Yarrowia lipolytica: one gene and its partners. The protein of the gene in region 2 interacts with the protein of the main gene of each other region in a biochemical or structural test. Links are inferred from orthologs where the notes say so. Each region holds a gene or a part of one and is shown on either strand. Other genes may lie near its edges.

Region 1 (2,897 bases), on a different chromosome or scaffold from region 2:
TCGACAGGACTGCATGTAAGCTGCATAAACCCAGAATATTGACTATCGAGCAAAGATGAATCAAATGGGCGTCAGAGATTGAGTGTCAGTGCTTGTGTCGATATATATGTATACAATATTCTTAGATTGATTTCATACCAATTTCTTTGGCTCAGGTTCTTTCTCATACTAGCCGGTTCTACTCCACAAGTACTGGCACACTGTTTCTGTCCCAGCTTGCCTTTATCAGAGAACACGCTTCGACTGACCGATCGAGAGTCATGCAATGATATTAAATTTTATTCTAGTTCAGTTGTCCTCTGGTGCAATGATCACAAGTGTGGGCTATGGGCGCGGTAGCACCTGTGTTCCTAGGGGGGTGCTGTAGGTGCAGTAGGTGCTGTCGATCACAACTGATGAACGTGCTTACACTGTGTGTACCGGGTCGACTGTCATTTTATCAAGTACAGGACAGTACTTGTAGTTGTACCATAGTCAACCGCAGAAATAACAGCTCAGACTCGTCGTAAAGAGTCTGGTGATAGTCCCACTGCAGGCACACGAATCGACGGGTGTCACAAGGCTCTTTTTCAACCACTCCCACACCTCCACACAATCCAACACCCATAATCAATTACCAAACACGGCAAAGCTTGACTCCCTCAAGAACGTCGTCGTAGTCGTCCTGACTGACTCGGCCGATGGACACAAACACAGTTCGCACCTCTGTGGGCGAGTCCTTGACTACCTGGGACGCCACCTGGACAGCTATGATCTGACCCAATGTGTCAGCATTGGAGCCTCCAATTAGCGACATGGGAGTGAGATGAGTGAGTGGCAGATTGCTGATGTCTTCGCCTTCGTCGTCATATTCGGTATGTGCAAAGAACTGATTGCCTGGAGATAGTCTTAGGGGAACATAGTATGATCTAGTGTATGCTCCTTTGCTGTGGATATTGACGAAGATCTTGTCGTTGAATGCATAGGTGACAATGTCTAGATCTTTGATAGTCGTGTGTTTTGAAGGGATCATTGTATGAATGTTTCTTTTCTGTCAGATTGTGAATGTTACCTACTTGTAGCAAGATGTGTTCGTTGATAATGGACCAGAACTCTATTCACGAACTACAATTACGAGTAATGGCGCGAGGCATCTACCTGCTGTACTACTGTGAAGTAGTTTTGAAGGACCGAAGACCTACAGTTATGTTATTATAATAATAAAAAATAGAGACTATGGAGTAACAGACTATTCATAGTATTGTGCGAATGAGAAACTTCTTCTAACTCTGATCTATGTAATATTTCGAAATATAATCAACCAATCTGCCGAAATAGCCACGGTCAGTCTACAGTAAAATATACGGCATACTCACTCTTGAAGTGCTGCTTAATCAATACCACAAACACCACTATAGACATGTCACCCTGCTCTCCACCCATCACCCACTCCTTCTATGCCTCTGAGTCGGCCTCAGTTCATATCGACTATCGACACAACGCACTCATTTTTTTCATGCAGTAAGCAGGAATGAGGTGTTCTACAGTGGACACAGCAAACAAACTAAATAGCTCCGGAGAAATGATATTCTGACAATTGAAAAACATGACTCAAAAATATTGACGTGTCAAAACAACTACAATGTCTCATTTTTTTCAACGACTCTTATCGCCACCGAAATAATGACCACGAGGTGGGCTCAACGAAACCTTATTTGGCTAACATGGGAACCAAATCGTGTCTTTATTTTGCGTGTTCATGTGCATGAGGTTTGTGAAAGTCTAAGAACCTCAGCACCAACAAACAGCAATGACCTCAAGGTGAGTACCTATTGCGATGAAGGCTCTCTTCCGTGCACAGCAACTAACTCAGACATCAACTCTTTGCCTCCTCGGCACAATACGGATCACCAGCCTCCAGCCAGGCTTCTTCTCGAATCAACACCCCTCAACCTCCACAGCCGTACGCCGGGTCGTCTTCGTCCTTTGGAGAGGCCAAGCCCTACGTTCCCGAGCAGGAGGAGTACGATCCTAAAAGCCACAAGCAGTACTCGACGTCGATGCTGTCGCAGTTGGAGTCCCAGAACGACGAGCAAATGGAGGGTCTGTCTGCTAAGGTGCAGCTGCTGAAGGACGTGACCAGCAAGATCGGAGTGGAGATCCGGGACTCCAGCCACCTGCTCAACAACCTGGAGGACACTTTTGAAAATGCATCCACGAAACTCAAGGGCACCTTCAAGCGAATGATGATCATGGCCGACAACAGCGGTATTGGCTGGAGAGTCTGGCTCGGTCTCTTCGCCTTCATTTTCCTGTGTTTCTTCTTTGTTTGGGTGAGATGATTGTGGAGGACTGCTTTCTGGTTGGGCCAGCCAGTATTTAGGACTTATTTATGTATTGATAGACTGCACTGTATGTATACAACGAGACACTGTATCGTATTGATTTCTACACATTATAACTTATCTGAATGGTCGCTACCACTCACAAGACTTCGCCAGAATCAAGGCAATCTTCTCCAGTCCCTGCTGGTCCACCTCGTCGAATCCCTCTAGACTGGCACAGTCAATATCAATGACACCGAAGAGCTTACCGTTCAACACAATGGGAACTACAATCTCGCTCTTGGTGACTCCGTCGCATGCAATGTGCCCGGGAAACTCCTCCACATTCTTGACCAGTTGGGTCTTCTGCTCCTTGGCAGCAACTCCACACACTCCCTTGCCCAGAGGGATCTCCTGACATGCAACCTGACCATGGAAAGGTCCCAAAATCAGCTGTTCAGACTTCTTAGGATCAATCACGTAGAAGCCGGCCCAGTTGATGTCGCTGGATGGCTCGGGGAGCGATTTGAGACCGTGCCAGATGATCGACGAGGCATTGGAAAGATTAGCCACCCAATTGGTCTGACCATCAAC
Region 2 (4,350 bases):
AGATGCAGGGGGAGAAAAGTATGTGGATTACTATGTGGTGTTGAAAGAGAAGGATTTGGATATCTGTTTGGCCTAGCACTGGAGCTAGGGGCAGAGCTTGCCATTTGCCCAACCCCAGACCACAAGCACAAGTTGATCTTTGCTTAAGCCATCGCTGCTCCACATCCGTGACTACCATCTAGGGGTGGCGCTAAAAGACTACATCTAAGCACGACATCGAGAACGGTGGTTTGGACCGAATTAATGATGTTACGGAGAACAATGGTTGATATTGCTGTTACGGAGAACAATGGTTGATATTGCCCCCACCGTTGCTGTTGTTATGGCTATGGCAAGACATTATAATGTATTTTTTATGATGTAGCCGAACTGTAGGTAACTATGTGTACAAAAATGTACAAGTAGTGCGTGATCATGGGAGCTCTACTTACATACAACAGTCCTTGCTCGGTCGGTGAACCAGATCCGCCTCTTGAGTAAAGGGGGATACGGTCAAGTATCCACCCTTGCAAGATCCAATAGTATATCCTTTCTATTACATTATTACGTGCAAAGGAGTGGCATAAAGTACAACCCCTAGCCAATCTCTCTGGCTCCTACTTGCGCTCCTACTTGGTGAGTGAGGCCAGCTCTCCCAAAAACACATCGGGTTTGACCACATCTGTTCCTCCGTAAACCACCTTTTTTCCTGCCTTAACACCGTAGTCCATCAGATTGGCGTACTCAGCGTAGTTGGCACCTCCAACCACAAACACAATGGCCTCGTTGTACGCCTGTTTTCGGGGCGGCTTTGTGCTGGAGCCACGCACCGACGGGTCGAAATATAAATAGTCGTCGGTAATGTCGCCAGACTCGGAAGGAGACACAATGCCGGACACAATTCGGGTCACGGGCATATCCTTGTTTTGTGGCAGATACGACTTGACGTTGGAAATGAGGTTGCCAATCTTGCCGGACGACAGCTTGGAGGCAAAGTTTCGGAACGATTGCTCCGACGTCTGGGGCTCCTGTGCAGAAGCAGCTGACGACTTCAGCGCCATCATTTTGGACAGGTCCTTGAGCCGCTTGACGTAGTTGAGCGCAGCCATGTCCACTCCCTGTGTGCTAAGAATACCCTCGTACTCCTTCTGTTCGGCAGCCGAGAGAGTGCCGGATAGGTAGACACAAATATAGGCTCTCAGCTTGTCCGTGCCAGACAGCTCTTCGTTCTTGAGCAGAGGCAAGAGAGCCTGCTTGTCCAGCCCGTCCTCGGCCTCAAACAAAATATCCAGCTGTCTCTTCTTGATTCGGTCCACCAGAGCAGTGGCAATGTTCATATGCATATCGATGACGGCTTTTCGAGCCGTGAGTTTGGGGATGGCCGAGATAGCCTTCTTGAGATGCGTGGGGGATGCATCTGTGTCCATATCGTTGATGTTGGCGCCTCCAGTGATCTGGCTGTACTCCTCCTTGTACTTATTGACTTCATTGTCCATAGACTCCGCCACCTCGGGGAAAGAAAGAAGCGAGTTTTGGTTCCAGAAAAAGTCGGAGGGCGCCACATCGTACGACTCGGTGGTGCCATTGTCTTTGGCGATTCGGATCTGGCCTCTTTCGGACTCAAACACGTCGTGAACCAGTCCCATGTAGTTGGACGAGTGCTGGAGCATGGACGCGAGATCAATGTTTCGGTCAAGAATCATGAGCACCGGTCGCGAGAGAGGGTTGGTGGTCAGTTTGAGGTTGTTGACGTGGTCTCTGAGCTTGGAGTCGAGTTTCTGGGCGACCATCTCGGCGGCGTTTCCTCTGGGACATCGAATGATGGGAATTTCACCCTGGGTGACAACCACAGAGAACAGACCAGACACAATCTGGTCGACGATGGCATTGAGCGAGTCCTCGTCCATCTTGGGGGATGCCAGCTCAGAGTAGATGTTAGGCAAGGCCAGAGAGAAGAGGTTGGCCTCGGAAACAACGTAGTTGAGGTAGTGGTCGTAGACCTGAGTAATCTGAGAGGCTGTGGCCACGTTGTCGGCTGCAAAGGTCTCCAGCAGCTGACGGGGAAGAGGAGACACGAAGTTGACGGACGCGGATTCGTAGAGCTGGGAATGCAGGTCTCGCGTGATCTTTTGAAGGTTGTCGGATGTAGGTCGCACAAAGTACACCACCGGAACGTCAATAGCGTACCGATCGGAATCCAGCAACATGTGGATGGTGACTCCGTTCTGGAACAGGTCGTTGACTCGCATCACCGACGAAATCACATCTCGGCCAAACTTGTCGAAGACCAGCACCTTCCAAGCCTGGCTTTTGTTGGCACTCCCATTTTCTCCAGAGAGAACACGCGTGATCGCGGCTGTGTTAGTCAGCGAATCATTGTCGGTTAGTCACGTGATACTCACCAATCTGCTTGTCTCGAAACGACTCGGGCAAAGTGCTGTTGTTCATTGGGCTAGACTTCCGAAACTCCTCTGAAGGAGAGATGCGTATGTCGTGGTCTTTGGAGATAAGGTTAGGTGGAGCGTGTCAGTCATGTGACCAGAATGGGGAAAAAGCACCGTGTTGGGGAAGAGTGAGAGTGGTCAGGGAATTGATCGGGCAAGAAATGCGCTGCTCCAAACGGCTGTTTCGAGACAGGTCGTATCGGACAAGTACTGCAGCTTGTATTATGTAATTTCACTGGTGTCCTCTTCTGGACGCCCTTACCCTGTCCCAAATAGGAGGCCAAGGTGATTTACCTATTTGGACTAGTGCAGTATGAAACTTGCTGAACAGGTGAAAGATGCAAGTCAGTCATGTTCGTATGTGGAGGACGGAGGGCTGCCGACAGGTTTTCTGCGACCATACATCTCGCCGGTGCAAGTACAAGTGCGAGTACGTTTACTTGTACTCTTAAAGATATAAAGAGGCTTGTACATACGTATGCCTGTGCTTGTACTCTGCAAGTATACAACCCCTGTTTTGGATACATAATCTGGAGCAAGTCATGGAGACTGTACTGTACAAGACGAGTGTCATTTGATGCGAACAACACAAGACGAGCTGCAAGAGGCCCTGATACAAGTACAATTACTTCCACCTGTACATTAAAACACGCTCGACCACCTTACAATCGCCTGTACTCGTGCATCATACCAACAACGTCAAGTCGGAACCTTCAAACGCGTCCTACAAACCAGCGATGGACGATCAGACAGGTTCACGTGATGTCGATGGCATCCAAGGAGCTTCCACTCTCATCATGTGTCGTTCGACACCATCTCTGGTGAACCTACGAGTACCGTCACATTCACAAATGCCCTTGTCCAGGTCTGGCAACACGAGTTGTAGACACCACACCGCACCCAATGAACCACAAGCACACAGCCATCCCTTTCCGGGGTCTAGCCAGTACAGTTAACCAGTGAGACTGATACTCCTTCCAGTCCCACTAAGACTGACCCTTGACAGGGGTCTACCAGCTCTAAAGGGATCAAGCCGGGGCAACAGTGTCCGCAACAGTGTCCGCAACAACACTGCAGCCACATCAGCCTCTGAGGGGATCATCTGAAGAAGGGCCATCTGAACCACCGAAGGAGCCTATATGCTTGAAGATGGACTCGGGGTCGTGAGCTGGCACTGCAAGTAGCGACGTGATATCCACGATACGTTCGAAAAGCAGCGCGATCCACGATATGGATGCATGTACAGGTACCCGTATTCCACGGACCCGTTCTATCTCTCCAACACAACTGTCACCATGAGCCGCATCAAAAGCCGTCATGGATCACTAGCGGTAAATGAACGTCTCTCCTTCCACCCTTTCCTCAACTCCCCGCCAAGCTCCCCCGGATCTTTAAACCCTTGCTATTAAAACGGCGTAAAGGTAATCAAGGGTGGCGGTGGAGTGCGAATGCGAACACTCGTTTCTCTGGTGCTATGGTTCTCCCGGCGCGTGACCCATTGCCTACCAAGGCTTGCAGAAAGGCGCTAGTTTAGCCGGAAAAAAGGACTATGTCTAAACGAAATCTAAGCGTACGTGGACAATGGGCCCAGAAGCAGGCCGCTCCACATGTTTACGTCATGGCCACTAGCGTACAAGTAGCGATAAACGCGGATATGGGGTGCATGGGGTATGCTCAAACGTGCAAGTAGCACCAGGGAGTAGGGCTAGGTCCGAAGCCACCGCCGCCGCCCTACTGCCCGCTTAATTGCTTTATTTACTCTTAGCGTAGACTTTGGATCATCCCAGAAACGTAAACGGGAGACATTTTGCTATTTTTACCCGCTCAGACAGGTCCCAGACATGGCTTGGAGGGGCCAAGTCTTGTACCACTAGCATTGCTCAGGGCGAATGTGGACGACAAGGGGTGTAGGATGACGTGTATTGTG
Region 3 (3,471 bases), on a different chromosome or scaffold from region 2:
AAGTACTTTTCTGCCCACTTCCCCTCCGAGGGGGCTGCTGGGGTTTTTCCTCAGGATGACGGATCTATCGCCCTTGTGCTTGTGGATGGCAAGTATAACCCTGCCAACTACTGGAACGGAAAGTGGCGGTCTGTGTACATCTTCGAGAGTGGCTCTCTGAGCGGAACAATCGACGTGGATGTGCATTACTACGAGGACGGAAATGTCCGTCTCAAGTCCAGCGAGAAGGTGGACCTTGGTTCTGTGTCCGAATCTGACATTGTGGACGCCATCTCCAAAGCCGAGCAGCAGTTCCAGGAGAAGCTCAACAAGTCATTTAACGGTCTAAACGAGGATTCGTTTAAGGCCCTGCGACGACAGCTGCCCGTGACTCGATCTAAGATCAACTGGGGCAAATCCATCTCCAACTACCGGCTGGGTAAGGATATTAACGTTGGTGGAGGACGAGAGTAAGTAAACAGCGCTCTCTGTTTATATAGGATAAGGCTTTGCGTATTATGAGATCAGTACGTGGGTATCGGTACTGTGGTGTTACGATCAATCTTCTTAGTTATAAACACAGCGCCGAACGCGCTCATGGTACTACCAGTACTTCTACTCTCCTCATGCATTAAAAAAACTTGAACAGAAACCACAGCAGGAGAATGATGGCCAGAGCAATGCCAACAGTTCGCCAGATGGGGTGTCCGGCCTTGAGCGACCGTCCAAGCTTGGAAGCAGACCCTCGGACCGAGGTCATCATGTTTCCAACAGTGTCCGTCTGGGTTAGTAGGGTAAAAGAAGTGAGGTTTTGGACTGGGTGAAATGTCTAGGAAGGGTACAATCGCCCCGGTACTGCATTCCTTTGAGGTTCCCCTGCTCCACGATACAGGAAAAAGGAGTTGAAGCCAGCTGAGGACGTCCTAGACACATAATAATACCATAGATGAAACCAGCAGATCGAGAGAATGCCAGTATCCAAGTTCGTACTCTTAGATCACCCCTAAGTCAGAGGTGTTCGTAAAACAAGCCAATAGAACAAAGATAGTGAGACCAGACCCGCCAGATGAAGGCAGAGCTTCATTCAGATCAAGTATTCAAGCCGTTCGGATCATGAAATGTCGTGCTCGGTCTTCTTCAGCCTGCTGAGAAAACATACTTTATAATCTCGCGTGCCCGTGAGCATGTGATCCCTCCAGTTCAACAAGATAATCAACTACCATGGCACGTCGTGAATATGATCAGAATCAAGGAATCATCGCCACATCTTTTGGGTACTTCCTCGACTTCTAGCACCATTCTCCTCTCTCTATCACTCTCTCTGTGTGCGTCTCCGCATGACAACCTCATGGACCACCACTCTCCGTCATACTCACCGTGGAATCAATAAGCGAATAATCGCTAGCCTGAGCGTGGATGTCATTGGTGACAGACCGCAAAGACGAGATTTTCGACGCCAGCTCCTCGAGCCGAGTGTTGTTTTGCTCTTCTCGCTGGTATGCTGACATTGTGTGTGTGTTGTGTGTTAGGTTTCGGCATATACAGTTCGGGCGCTGCCAAAAGGAGCAGGCGATCGCAACAAGGTTAGTGCGGAATAAGCGGGGGGAGGCCAAATACGAACATGATAGTGTGAGACTTGTCTCGGTGATTACTCATCCGAGTGCAACTACTTTAGTCATCAATAATAGGGACGAATCCGAGGTTTTCGATTTAGGAAAGAAGCCTTAGTTTCGGAGGTCGCCAGTGCCACCTGTAGTACATTGTTAGCGCTGCAGAACATGCGCTTGGCGGAATTCTAAAGAGACATTTATCTGATGAGTGTGCATAATTGCCACCACACCATTAGATGGGAGGAGCCTGGGGTGGCAAAAACGGCGGTTTCGGATAGCGATCGAGGTTGGGATGGGAGTTTTGAGACCACCAAAGACGAATCCGCACCTGAATACGTTACATTTTCATCCACTAGCACCTGCTAAACGTCCCTCTATATGGCCCATGAGAGACGCATGCGCATCTGATAAAAAGCCAAGACTTTGCTATCCAATCACAGGGCGTGTCTACCCCCGTCCGTGGCTAGCCACCCCAATTCCAAACACAAAAAGAGTGTAAATTTTTCACCGGTCCGAGCCCTTGAAAACGTTTTTTTTCACTTTTTTGGAAATCATTTATAGGCGGCTGTCCCCAGTGATCTACAATTCTACCGTTTTGGCACACACTGAACACGACATTAGCAAGACGATACACCTTAGCGAGCGCCACGCGAAGCGACAGTGAATTTAAAACGTTTGAGCTGGATTTTGACGACAGCTCCATCTCACATCAGCTCATTTTCTTTGCTTTGATTACACACTATCATCACATTCTGTTGCTCACACCCGCTTAATTTCAGTTGGTCACGTGAACACAGCCACTTATCGAACCCTTTTAGCTATCTCCAGTAGACGCACAGGGACAACGCATAATACATCCACACTCACCACACTCACCACACCCACACAATGAGATTATTGACACGGCTACTGGTGCTCGTGGCGTCGCTGGCGTTATTTGCGCAGGCTGACGATGACCTCAGCACAAAAATCAGCTCCACCATCAACGAGTTTTCGGGACTCATTGTTGAGCACTACTATCTCACCAACGATATGACCAATGCGTCTCCCGACGACGCCGAGGTGGTGCTGTTGCGAACCTCCAAAAACGATCTCTATGTCACTTACAACCAGGGCAAGACCTTCAAGCAGGTGCTCAAGGGCGAGGACATCATTGCCATCTACCCCAACCCCCACTTCAAGAACCGAGTTTACTTTTTGACCCCCGACGAGAAGGTCTTTTTCACCATTGATAAGGGCGAGTCATTCAAGTCGTTCCGAACACCTGCTCCCCCGAACCAGCGAGGCCTGCAATTGATGACTTTTGACCGAAACAACAAGGACGCTTTCATCTGGACCGGATCCGAAGGCTGTGAAGACGAGCTGTCCCCTCGATGTAAGGTGGTCACTCACTACACCAACAACAACGGAGGCCGATGGACCGAGGTCGGCAACGGAGCCATCATGTGCCAGTACGTTAACGGACTCAAGGATCAGAAGCGAAACAACCTCATGTACTGTCTGTTTGAGTACAACGAGGGTGGCGTCAAGAAGTCCCGACTGGCTTATTCTACTGACAACTTCCGAAACCAAAGAGTGACCCACGAGAACGTGCTTGATTTCGCTCTTGCTGAGGAGTTCCTCGTTGTTGCCGTCATCAATGACGAGGACGAGACTCTCGAGTGCCAGACATCCGTGGACGGTGAGTCCTTTTCCGTGGCTCGATTCCCTCCGGACTTTAAGGTCCCCAAACAGCTGGCCTACACCGTTCTGCAATCTACCACCCACGCCATTTTCCTGCATGTTACCGTCAACGGAAAGGCCAACTCCGAGTACGGCGCCATTCTCAAGTCGAACTCCTACGGTACTTCGTTTATGCTTTCTCTCAATGAGGTTAACCGAA

Evidence for each region.
Region 1: the proteins of YALI1_D25851g (region 2) and YALI1_F32546g form a complex in vitro, tested with the Saccharomyces cerevisiae proteins (2 studies listed by BioGRID). The link is inferred for Yarrowia lipolytica from reciprocal best matches to the Saccharomyces cerevisiae genes SLY1 and BET1.
Region 3: the proteins of YALI1_D25851g (region 2) and YALI1_E06119g form a complex in vitro, tested with the Saccharomyces cerevisiae proteins (2 studies listed by BioGRID). The link is inferred for Yarrowia lipolytica from reciprocal best matches to the Saccharomyces cerevisiae genes SLY1 and SFT1.

What each region holds. Positions count from the first base shown.
Region 1 is NC_090775.1:3,253,579-3,256,475, reverse strand, and holds YALI1_F32546g (uncharacterized protein), read left to right. Parts: upstream 1-1,789; coding exon 1,790-1,800; intron 1,801-1,852; coding exon 1,853-2,321; downstream 2,322-2,897. Other genes in the region: YALI1_F32554g (uncharacterized protein), read right to left, coding at 614-1,012; YALI1_F32534g (uncharacterized protein), read right to left, coding at 2,457-2,897. UniProt on the Saccharomyces cerevisiae protein: SNARE required for targeting and fusion of ER-derived transport vesicles with the Golgi complex.
Region 2 is NC_090773.1:2,582,793-2,587,142, forward strand, and holds YALI1_D25851g (uncharacterized protein), read right to left. Parts: upstream 2,428-4,350; coding exon 2,382-2,427; intron 2,336-2,381; coding exon 609-2,335; downstream 1-608. Other genes in the region: YALI1_D25813g (uncharacterized protein), read left to right, coding at 1-76; YALI1_D25831g (uncharacterized protein), read right to left, coding at 144-314, 381-416; YALI1_D25856g (uncharacterized protein), read left to right, coding at 2,775-3,248. UniProt on the Saccharomyces cerevisiae protein: Able to suppress the functional loss of YPT1. SLY1 is essential for cell viability. May interact indirectly, or directly with YPT1.
Region 3 is NC_090774.1:609,994-613,464, reverse strand, and holds YALI1_E06119g (uncharacterized protein), read right to left. Parts: upstream 1,488-3,471; coding exon 1,356-1,487; intron 761-1,355; coding exon 611-760; downstream 1-610. Other genes in the region: YALI1_E06137g (uncharacterized protein), read left to right, coding at 1-453; YALI1_E06109g (uncharacterized protein), read left to right, coding at 2,478-3,471. UniProt on the Saccharomyces cerevisiae protein: Vesicle SNARE required for retrograde transport within the Golgi complex.